Callithrix jacchus: one gene and its partners. The protein of the gene in region 1 interacts with the protein of each later gene in a biochemical or structural test. Links are inferred from orthologs where the notes say so. Each region holds a gene or a part of one and is shown in the gene's direction. Other genes may lie near its edges.

Region 1 (3,554 bases):
TGTTGAGTTCCCCAAAAATGGGCAGTTTCAGGCATCAAGGTGGTCAGTGTGGGTGGGGCCTGAGCAGAGTCTTTGAAGTGGTGAAGATAGCTTGCAGTATACACATCTAGGACATGTGCAGAGCCATTGATGGGGTGACTTGTTCTGATAAGAAATTTTTTTTCCCTAAGAGGAAATCATTTAAAAGGTTTTTGGAGGCCGAGGCGGGTGGATCACGAGGTCAAGAGATCAAGACCATCCTGGTCAACATGGTGAAACCCCATCTCTACTAAGAATACAAAAAATTAGCTGGGCATGGTGGTGCGTGCCTGTAATCCCAGCTACTCAGGATGCTGAGGCAGGAGAATTGCCTGAATCCAGGAGGCGGAGGTTGCGGTGAGCCGAGATCACGCCATTGCACTCCAACCTGGGTAACAAAAGCGAAACTCTGTCTCAAAAAAAAAAAAAAAAGATTTTTGTGTTAAAATAGACATGGATTTAACATAAAGTAGATTGCAAAACTCACATGGAAATTTTAGCTCAAGCTAAGACTAAATAAACTACGGGCAGCAGGACTCCATGGGCAATGTCCTGGGGGCCCAGCAGAGGGCGCACTGCCTCCACTTCACAGATGTCTGCCTGAGCCTCCGCAATCTGGGATTGGAGGGAGCAGGAAAGACAATCCTAGGCCCCTTTGTCTCCCTGCAGGTGCTGGGGGCCCGACATCTGCCGAAGAATGGCCGAGGCATTGTGTGTCCTTTTGTGGAGATTGAGGTGGCTGGAGCTGAGTATGACAGCACCAAGCAGAAGACAGAGTTTGTGGGTCAGTCTGTCTTCCCAGTCATCATCCTCCTCCTCCTCCTGGGGGCACCACAAGGCCCTCTCCACCAGTCATCCCATCCTCTCCAAGGGTCACCTGAAGCCTTTTGTTGTTGCCTTCACAGTGGACAATGGACTCAACCCTGTATGGCCGGCCAAGCCCTTCCACTTCCAGATCAGTAACCCTGAATTTGCCTTTCTGCGTTTCGTGGTGTATGAGGAAGACATGTTTAGTGACCAGAATTTCCTGGCTCAGGCTACTTTCCCAGTAAAAGGCCTGAAGACAGGTGAGGACCATTCCTGGAGGCAGTGCCCCTGTGATCTTGCTGCCAGGGTGGGGCTGGGCCCCTTGCTCTGTCCCTCCTGGGCTGAGGACCAGGGTTTCCTCCTCTTAGGATACAGAGCAGTGCCTTTGAAGAACAACTACAGCGAGGACCTGGAATTGGCCTCCCTGCTGATCAAGATTGACATTTTCCCTGCCAAGGTATCTGCAGCAGGAGTGGGCTGGCCTGAGGTGGGTGGGAGGAGAACAGGCAACACCCTCCTGAAGTGCAGAAAAGTCACTGACCCTCTTCTGCACTTGCCTTCATTGAAGCAAGAGAATGGTGACCTCAGTCCCTTCAGTGGTACATCCCTGCGGGAGCGAGGCTCAGATGCCTCAGGCCAGCTGTTTCATGGCCGAGCCCGGGAAGGCTCCTTTGAGTCCCGCTACCAGCAGCCATTTGAGGACTTCCGCATCTCCCAGGAGCATCTCGCAGACCATTTTGACAGTCGAGAACGAAGGTGAGGGAGATGGAGGGGTGCTAGAGCCAGCAAGGCTGTGGCTAGGTCCTACTTCAGTGTTTCTTTCTACTGGGTAGAAAAGTTGTAATACTGTCTGGCTTTGGGCTGTCCAGTTGACACTCTTCCCTTCTGTCCAGGGCCCCAAGAAGGACTCGGGTCAATGGAGACAACCGCCTCTAGTTGTACCCCAGCTTCACTGGAGAGCAGCAGGTGCTGTGCACCTCATGGAATGCCGTGAACTGGGTTCTTTGGAAGCAGCCTGCTGTGGCGGCCTTCCAAGTCTCACAGCCTGAAGCCTGGATTCCAGCAGTGAATGCTAGACAGAAACCAAGCCATTAATGAGATGTATTACTGTTTTGGGCCTCCATGCCCCAGCTCTGAGTGAAGGCAAAAACTGTACTGTGTCTCGCATTAAGCACACACGTCTGGCCCTGACTTCTGGAGATGGATCCTTCCATCTTGTGGGGCCAGGACCACAGCCGAAGCCCCTTGGAGAAGGAGGGCACCTCAGCCAGTGGCACAGGAGGCTCCAAGGAGCCACTGACATTCCTAAGAGTGGAGGAGGAGGAGGAGCCTTGCTGGGCCAGGGAAACAAAGTTTACATTGTCCTGTAGCTTTAAAACCACAGTTGGGCAGGATGAAAGGCTAGATGCCCCTGCAGTTTGGCCCTGGAGCCAGGGCAGAGGAGTGTGGGGTCTGTGTGGAGAAGGGCTCTGCCCTACCTGAGGAGGAGGACACAGCACAAGGGCACATTGCCCATGGCTGGGAACATGACCCAGCCTGAAAGATACAGGGGATCATGTTAAAAATAGCAGTATTATTTTTCTTCTCAATGGTATTGTAACTAAGTTATTTACTCCTCCTGCTCCTCACCCTTGTAGGGAAACCTTGGAGTAGAGCCTTGGAGAGGAGAGTGGCAGGTGGGCTGCCTGCTGTGTTAAGAGGGCTCAGTTTGTGATGTTAAGGCACTGTTAAGAATGGGGTGGGGGGTGGGTGGGAAGAGAAGCAATAGCAAAGCCTATTTTGGTGAGGTTTTTTTTTTTTTTTTTTTTTTTTAAAAGAAAAGCTGACTTGATATGCTTTCCCTGAGGAAAGAAAGGAATTGAGATGCCTGCCGCTTGGGTGGGCAGGGTAGTACAGGCAGCTGGGTGCTGAATGAAGCTGCCATGCTTATTGCAGCTTCTGTCTAACTGGTAAAACAAAATGATCTAGGGATGGAGATGGGAAGGTTAGAAAGGCAGCCCCCACCTCTGAGGACAGAGGCTGGGGTCCAGGCCCGTGGGTGCAAAGGTGCCTCAGCATAGCCAGCATTCAGCACACACAAACCTACTGCCCATATTTGGGCTCAGGGTTGGCCATTTGCTAGTTCTGCTGCCCTCTTAAGATCTGACTGCCAAATAAATCATCCTCATGTCCTTTTTCCTTTAACTTGTATGCTCTTTTGGTGGCTCAGGAAAGCCTGTTATCTGGGGACATACTCACCAGATGATTCTGCAATAGAAGCAGGTGGGACGTTTCTGGAAACTTTTCAGGTTAAGCAGCTGTTACCTTCTCTGGGCTAACAGGAATTGTGGGGCCACCTTCTCTCCTGCCCATCCTTCCAACAGAGTACATCTGCCTGGGTTCCTGGCCAGCCAGCTTTGGTGGTGATCTGGAAACCACCACAGCCCGTTTCCAGTTCCACAGAAACCTCTCCTTTCAAAACTGATGCATTCAGTTAACATTGCCAGGTGCCATTCTGGTTGCCTCTATGACTTGGCAGCTGAAGTCTCTGTGCCCAGAACATGGTTGAAAGGTCCTTCTCTTCCCGAGGCTCTGTTTTCATCATATTTTGTGCAGGGATGGAACAAAAATGATACCACACAATTTAAGATCTGGTTCCATGGATGACATGAACTGATAGTATCAAACAGTGATAGTGCTCAGGTTCTTGTGTGACTTTCTTCTAGAGCTTCACAGTCCCAGCTCAGAGA
Region 2 (3,649 bases), on another chromosome or scaffold:
GAAGATGCATTAGATATTCTTTTTTATATATTTGGAATATGGAATATAAAAATATAGGTACATTTTAAGGCAAAATGTGTAAAAATAAGGAAGCCAACTTATCACAAGCATTTCAAATATTTCAATCCTGGGCTGAGACCAAGTATGTGAAGCTTTAGTCCAAGGGAATATTTCTTTTTTAAATCACATTCCGAATGAATGAAAACAAGACACAGACAAATGAAAGTAGAGGTAGAGGTTGTGTTAGATGAATGATCTAACAGTATATATGTTAACGAATGCCAAATGCAGGTTTTAATTATCCACCTGTCTCATTCCAAAATACAGAAGAGTTTAAGTCTTCTTAGAGAGTTACTTCAACTGAGAAATCAAGCAAGTCACCAGAGTGAAATCACCTTTGCAAAAATTGTAACTGAGGAAATTATGACAGTGAATGAGATACGATCCAATCAACTCCATCTTGCTTTAGCTTCCAAGCTGTCCTCGTTCCTTCCTGGGCATAGGCCGAACCGACTTTGAGAGGAACTTGGTTTATAGTTTGACTTTGATAGGAAGACAAGAACAGCCCTTTGCCCAAACAAACCCTCTTCTTGCCTGGGAACTAGACCACCTTTGCAAGACTAACAAATTAACTACAAGATTAGAAAAGATGGTTTAAGAATCACTGCTGTAAAACCTGAGGTCAGTGCTTGAGATATTTTAGAGACCCTGTATTTCAGTGCACCAGCTGACACCACCCAGGTCTCATCTGATCTTGTGGCCTGTAACTAGGAACTGACTCAGCTCAAGAGGCCAGGGTCAGCTACCTATGATTTCATCTTTGACCCAACCAATCAGCACTCCCATTTCACTCTCTACCCACAAAATCATCCTTAAAAACCCCATTCCCTCAGTTTTCAGAGACACTGATTTGAGTAATAATAAGATTCCAGTCTCCTGTACAGCTGGCTTTGTGTGAATTGAACTCTTTTTCTATTGCAGTTCTCCTCTCTTGATAAATCCGCTCTGTCTAGTCAGTGGGCAAGGAGAATCCATGTGTGGTTATAAGAACTGATCCCAATTTCAAATACTTATATCTAAGCATTCTTTATTTTCTTGCCTATTTCCCAAAAAGGGATGAGGAGCTTAGGGAGTTAAAAAGTGGTAAAATAGGCCAGGCATGGTGGCTCCTGCCTGTAACCCCAGCACTTTGGGAAGCCAAGGTGGGCGGATCATCTGAGGTCGGGAGTTTGAGACCAGCCTGACCAACATGGAGAAACCCTGTCTCTACTAAAACATACAAAATTAGACTGGCATGGTAGCGCATGCCTCTAACCCCAGCTACTCGGGAGGCTGAGGCAGGAGAATCGCTTGAACCTGGGAGGCGGAGGTTGCAGTGAGCTGAAATCGTACCATTGCACTCCAGCCTAGGCAACAAAAGCGAAACTCTGTCTCAAAAAAAAAAAAAAAAAAAAAATAGTAAAATGTGGGGAGAAAGGCACTATTCCCATTATACCAAGATACATTGCTGGCGAAGCAATACCTTTCGAGGTACAATTTCCAGTAACACAAGCATGCAGTAAGAGGCAGTATTGGCTGTTAGTGTCTTTGATGAGCCGAGTCTTTCCCTGGCTTGCCTATCCATGATGAGACTGACACCTTGGGAAACAGTTCTCGAAGACTGTGAACCCTTCCAGGGTGGGGACAGCAGCTTCAGTGTGCTCTCCGGCCCGGTTAGTTCCTGGTGGAGTAGCCTTCCTAACAAACAGGGAGCCTTGAGCCCAGCCTGAAGTTTTTACTTAGTCACTCCTTGGAATCAGTTATATTTTGAATACTGAAATATTTCCAGTGACTAAGAATTTACTAAGACAAAAGATGCCCCTGTTTGCATGTGGAAAACAGAAGGAGAGAGAACCAGGGGATCTGGGTGAGAGCCCCTGAAGGCGGAGGATCCCAGGGGCTGGCCCTGCACGCAGGGGAGCCGGTAGACAGCGGGTTCACACCGGGGAGGGATGCACCCTCCTTTCTCCGTCTGTGTTTTCTTTCCTTTGCAAATGTTATTTGACAAAAGCAATTATGCTAATTTCCTTCCCTGTGGGCTCAATTCTGTTTTTGACACCGTGACTTAGAGGAGTCATTATGCTTACTCCAAACGGGAAAGACGCCCTCCCGCCCAGCTGTCCACCCGCCGAGCTGGCTTCCGTGCAGAACGCTGAAGAGGCTTCTGGAGTTCTTGGGCGTTAATGATTCTGCCTGCCCACAGGTCGGGTGTTGGGGTCTGGAGCGTTTGGGAAGGTGGTTGAAGGAACAGCCTATGGATTAAGCCGATCCCAGCCGGTCATGAAGGTTGCCGTGAAGATGTTAAAGCGTAAGTGCTCCTTCCTCGGGATGTTATGAACACGGTGATATTAAGGGAATTGCTCAAAATCATACAGCTAGTAAATAAGACATTTAGGACTAGGTCCCGGTTCTTTTGACTCTAGGTTTTATGTGTATTTAGACAATGTTGTCAATTAGATTTATTTAGATTGCTCTTGTTGCCTGTATGTTGGAAAATTAAGAATTGTTGTTTCCAGTGGCTTCTTTTTACCAGAAAGACTAGGAATTAGATATTAGCATTGAGGCCAAGTAGCTATCCGCTTCTTTTAGACTTTTGATTAATAGAATGATATCTAATCACAGGATTAGTCATGTTCTTTTTTTTCAGTCTGAGAATGGGAAGTTGGTAGCCCAGCTGGACTGATGTGTGATTCATTCCTTCAACAGCCACGGCCAGATCCAGTGAAAAACAAGCTCTCATGTCTGAACTGAAGATAATGACTCACCTGGGGCCACACTTGAACATTGTAAACTTGCTGGGAGCCTGTACCAAGTCAGGTGGGCTCTCTGACCTGGAGTGAGGGCTTTCACTGGACACGTGTAGTTGTGAAAACTGTTCAATTCGGGCTTAAATCCTCCACTCTCCATCCCCGAACATGCCAGGAAATAGAAGTCCCTTGAATGGAGCTGACCAGTTCCCTTGAACTGATAGAAGCTCATTGTTTTTGAGCAACATCTGTTGCCAGTCCAGTCATAGCCATTCATGGCTTTTTTTTTTTTTTTTTTTGAGCTGGAATCTCACTCTGTCACCCAGGCTGGAGTGTAGTGCCACGATCTCGGCTCACTGCAACCTCCACCTCCCAGTTCCAGTGATTCTCCTGCCTCAGCCTCCTAAATAGCTGGGACTACGGGCGTGTGCCACTACAAGCGCCTGGGTAATTTTTTGTATTTTTAGTAGAGACTAGAGAAGGGGCTTCACCGTGTTAGCAAGGATGCTCTCAATCTCCTGACCCTGTGATCTGCCCGCCTTGGCCTCCCAAAGTGCTGGGATTACAGGTGTGAACTACCGTGCCTGGCCCATGGCTTTAAAAAAAAAAACTTTTAATGTCTTGTTTTTTTCTGTCCCATATGATCTGCAGGACTATTCCTGGCTTTTCTGTTCTTCATTTTCATACCTGTCTCCTAACGGTTTTTGTCCCCACAGGCCCCATCTACATCATCACAGAGTACTGCTTCTATGGAGATTTGGTAAACTATTTGCATAAGAATAGGGATAGCTTCCTGAGCCACCACCCGGAGAAGGCAAAGAAAGAACTGGATATCTTTGGATTGAACCCTGCTGATGAAAGCA
Region 3 (3,586 bases), on another chromosome or scaffold:
TTGGTGTGGCTGACCTGCTGCCTCCTGATGATAAGCAGCTACTATACAGTGAGGCCAAGGTGAGGTGACACAAAGGGCTGGGTAAGGTGGTGGGGGTGGAGTGAAGCATGGGGATAGAGAGCAGTCAGTGGTCTCTTCCAGAGGCAAGCAGATGCTTCATGGTAAGTTCAAAGAGAGGAGGCTGCAGATGGCCAGATATCTTAGTTCAGAGAGCAACAAAGAAAAGAATGATCAAGAATTTGGTTGGAAAAAACCAACATGGTAACATGAAAGATGCCTAGCAGGAAAAAAAAAAGAACTTGGGACTTAGCCGGGAACGGTGGCTCACACCTATAATCCCAGCACTTTGGGAGGCTGAGGTGGGTGGATTACGAGGTCAGGAGTTCGAGACCAGCCTGATGAACATGGTGAAACTCTGTCTCTACTAAAAATACAAAAATTAGTTGGGCATGGTGGCATGTGCCTGGGCATGGTGGAGTGCCCAGCTACTCCAGAGGCTGAGGCAGGAAAATCTCTTGAACCCAGGAGGTGGAAGTGGCAATGAGCTGAGATCACACTACTGCCACTGCACTCCAGCTTGGGTGACAGAGCAAGACTCCATCTCAAAAAAATAAAAAATAGGCCGGGCGCGGTGGCTCATGCCTATAATCCCAGCACTTTGGGAGGCCGAGGCGGGTGGATCACGAGGTCAAGAGATCGAGACCATCTGGTCAACAAGGTGAAACCCCGTCTCTACTAAAAATACAAAAATTAGCTGGGCATGGTGGTGCGCACCTGTAGTCCCAGCTACTTGGGAGGCTGAGACAGGAGAATTGCTTGAACCCAGAAGGCGGAGGTTGCCGTGAGCCGAGATCGTGCCATTGCACTCCAGTCTGGGTAACAACAGCGAAACTCCATCTCAAAAATAAAAATAAAAAAATAAAAATAAAGGCTAGTCCGAAGGTAGTGAGTTATCTCAACTGATTGTTCACAGTCAGTTACAGATCGAACTCCTTATTCTACTCTTTCCCCCCTTCTCACTACTGCACTTGACTAGTCTTTAAAAAAAAAAAAGAACTTGAGACTTGGAAATGCTTGTCTCAAAAAAATTTGTGGAAATAAACGTGATATCTCTATCTTGAATCCACAGACTCCAATTAAGTGGATGGCCCTTGAAAGTATCCACTTTGGGAAATACACACACCAGAGTGACGTCTGGAGCTATGGTCAGTGCATCTGGAGCTCTCTCTACCATCACTGCCCCCAATTTCAAAGTTACCGTTTGAGACCCCCCTCTTAGAATCTTAGAATTTCTAAGCATTTCAGATTTTTGTGTCAGATCAGGTTCTGCCTTCCCTTCACTTCATGCCCATGTCTACTATTTTGCCAGTGACTACTACATTTCTTCTTGCACCAGGTGTGACAGTTTGGGAGTTGATGAGCTTCGGGGCAGAGCCCTATGCAGGGCTGCGATTGGCTGAAGTACCAGACCTGCTAGAGAAGGGGGAGCGGTTGGCACAGCCCCAGATCTGCACAATCGATGTCTACATGGTGATGGTCAAGTGTGAGTTACCTGCTAAGCCCAGACATTTTCTTTTTTTTTTTGAGACAATGTCTAGCTCTTGTCACCCAGGCTGGAGTGCAATGGCATAATCTTGGCTCACTACAACCTCCACCTCCTGGGTTCAAGTGATTCTCTTGCGTTAGCCTCTGGTGTAGCTGGCATTACAGGCACCGGCCACCGTGCCCAGCTAATTTATGTATTTTTATTAGAGACAGGGTTTTGCCATGTTGGCAAGGCTGGTCTCAATCTCCTGACCTCGTGATCCTACTGCCTCGGCCTTCCAAATGCTGGTATTACAGGTATAAGCCACCATGCCTGGCATGACCTCAGCTATTTTCTGACTTCCCTCTGTACTCCTCTTCTTAGGGCTCTATTCCCTTTTTTTTTTTTTTTTTTTTTTGAGATGGAGTCTCGCTCTGTCACCCATACTGGAGTGCAGTGGCATGGCCTTGGCTCACTGTGACCTCTGCTTTCTAGGTTTAAGTGATTCTCCTTTCTCAGCCTCCCAAATAGCAGGGACTATAAGCGTGCACCACCTAGCTAATTTTTTTTATATTTTTATAATTTCAGGATTTCACTATGTTAGTCAGGCTGTAAACTCCTGACCTCAGGTGATCCACTCGCCTTGGCCTCCTAAAATGCTGGGATTACAGGTGTGAGCCACTGCACCTGGCCATGGCTGTATTCCCTTTCATGTCTTTATCTCCTACATCTTACCTCCAGGTTGGATGATTGATGAGAACATTCGCCCAACCTTTAAAGAATTAGCCAATGAGTTCACCAGGATGGCCCGAGACCCACCACGGTATCTGGTCATAAAGGTGAGTAGGGAGTAGGAGGTGCTAAGGAAATTTTAAAAAGGGGGAGTTGGTTGGAACCAGGATTTCCCCTAACAATCACCTATCAATATAGAGAGAGAGTGGGCCTGGAATAGACCCTGGGGCAGAGCACCATGGTCTGACAAACAAAGAGCTGGAGGAAGTAGAGCTGGAGCCAGAACTAGACCTAGATCCAGACTTGGAAGCAGAGGAGGACAACCTGACAACCACCACACTGGGCTCCGTCCTCAGCCTACCAGTTGGAACACTTACTCGGCAACGTGGGGTAAGACACCTTCTAATTACCCAACGCTTTGCACCTTGAGCCCTCACCAACCTATAGAGACCCAGATTAACTACTCAAAAGCCCCCGTGGTAAATGTAGATTTCTCCCTTCATCTTAATCTTGTCCTTATTTTTTCATCCTAGAGCCAGAGCCTTTTAAATCCATCATCTGGATACATGCCCATGAACCAGGGTAACCTTGGGGAGGCTTGCCAGGTAAGGTCGGTAGCTGGCTGGGTTTTAGGATCAGATTGAGAGTAGTATGGAAGACATTAGAAACCTCCGAGGTTTAATCAGTGTCCTGAAAAAAAGAAGGCAGTGAGGGCCAAGCACAGTGGCTCATGTCTGTAATGCCAGTACTTTGGGAGGCCAGGGTGGATGGATCACCTGAGGTTAGGAGTTCAAGACCAGCCTGGGCAGCCGGGCGAGGTGGCTCACGCCTGTAATCCTAGCACTTTGGGAGGTCGAGGTGGGTGGATCACGAGGTCAAGAGATTGAGCCCATCCTGGTCAACATGGTGAAACCCCGACTCTACTAAAAATACAAAAAATTAGCTGGGCATGGTGGCACATGCCTGTAATCCCAGCTACTCAGGATGCTGAGGCAGGAGAATTGCCTGAACCCAGGAGGTGGAGGTTGCGGTGAGCCGAGATCGCGGCATTGCACTCCACTCTGGGTAACAAGAGTGAAACTCCATCTCAAAAAAAAAAAACAGACCAGCCTGGCAATATGGTGAAACCCTGTCTCTACCCAAAATACAAAAATTAGGCAGGATGGTGGTGCACACCTGTAATCCTGGCTACTCAGGAGACTGAGACAGGAGAATTGCTTGAAATGGGAGGCAGAGGTTACAATGAGCTGAGATTTTACTACTGCACACCAGCCTGGGCGACAGAGACACCGTCTCAAAAAACAAAAAGGCTGGGCGCAGTGGCTCACG

Evidence for each region. The genes of interacting proteins can lie anywhere in the genome.
Region 2: the proteins of PLCG1 (region 1) and PDGFRA form a complex in vitro, tested with the Homo sapiens proteins (2 studies listed by BioGRID, with this or other methods). The link is inferred for Callithrix jacchus from reciprocal best matches to the Homo sapiens genes PLCG1 and PDGFRA.
Region 3: the proteins of PLCG1 (region 1) and ERBB3 form a complex in vitro, tested with the Homo sapiens proteins (2 studies listed by BioGRID and IntAct, with this or other methods). The link is inferred for Callithrix jacchus from reciprocal best matches to the Homo sapiens genes PLCG1 and ERBB3.

Annotation. Positions count from the first base shown.
Region 1 is NC_133506.1:36,521,029-36,524,582, forward strand, and holds the end of PLCG1 (1-phosphatidylinositol 4,5-bisphosphate phosphodiesterase gamma-1), read left to right. Parts: exon of another isoform or gene 1-386; coding exon of another isoform or gene 387-427; intron 428-687; coding exon 688-802; intron 803-923; coding exon 924-1,085; intron 1,086-1,193; coding exon 1,194-1,282; intron 1,283-1,393; coding exon 1,394-1,581; intron 1,582-1,718; coding exon 1,719-1,761; 3' UTR 1,762-3,009; downstream 3,010-3,554. Other genes in the region: ZHX3 (zinc fingers and homeoboxes protein 3), read right to left, coding at 387-427. UniProt on the Homo sapiens protein: Mediates the production of the second messenger molecules diacylglycerol (DAG) and inositol 1,4,5-trisphosphate (IP3). Plays an important role in the regulation of intracellular signaling cascades.
Region 2 is NC_133504.1:142,479,347-142,482,995, reverse strand, and holds part of PDGFRA (platelet-derived growth factor receptor alpha precursor), read left to right. Parts: intron 1-2,242; coding exon 2,243-2,347; intron 2,348-2,745; coding exon 2,746-2,856; intron 2,857-3,502; coding exon 3,503-3,649. UniProt on the Homo sapiens protein: Tyrosine-protein kinase that acts as a cell-surface receptor for PDGFA, PDGFB and PDGFC and plays an essential role in the regulation of embryonic development, cell proliferation, survival and chemotaxis.
Region 3 is NC_133510.1:63,570,691-63,574,276, reverse strand, and holds part of ERBB3 (receptor tyrosine-protein kinase erbB-3), read left to right. Parts: coding exon 1-59; intron 60-1,129; coding exon 1,130-1,205; intron 1,206-1,396; coding exon 1,397-1,543; intron 1,544-2,266; coding exon 2,267-2,364; intron 2,365-2,455; coding exon 2,456-2,647; intron 2,648-2,790; coding exon 2,791-2,862; intron 2,863-3,586. UniProt on the Homo sapiens protein: Tyrosine-protein kinase that plays an essential role as cell surface receptor for neuregulins.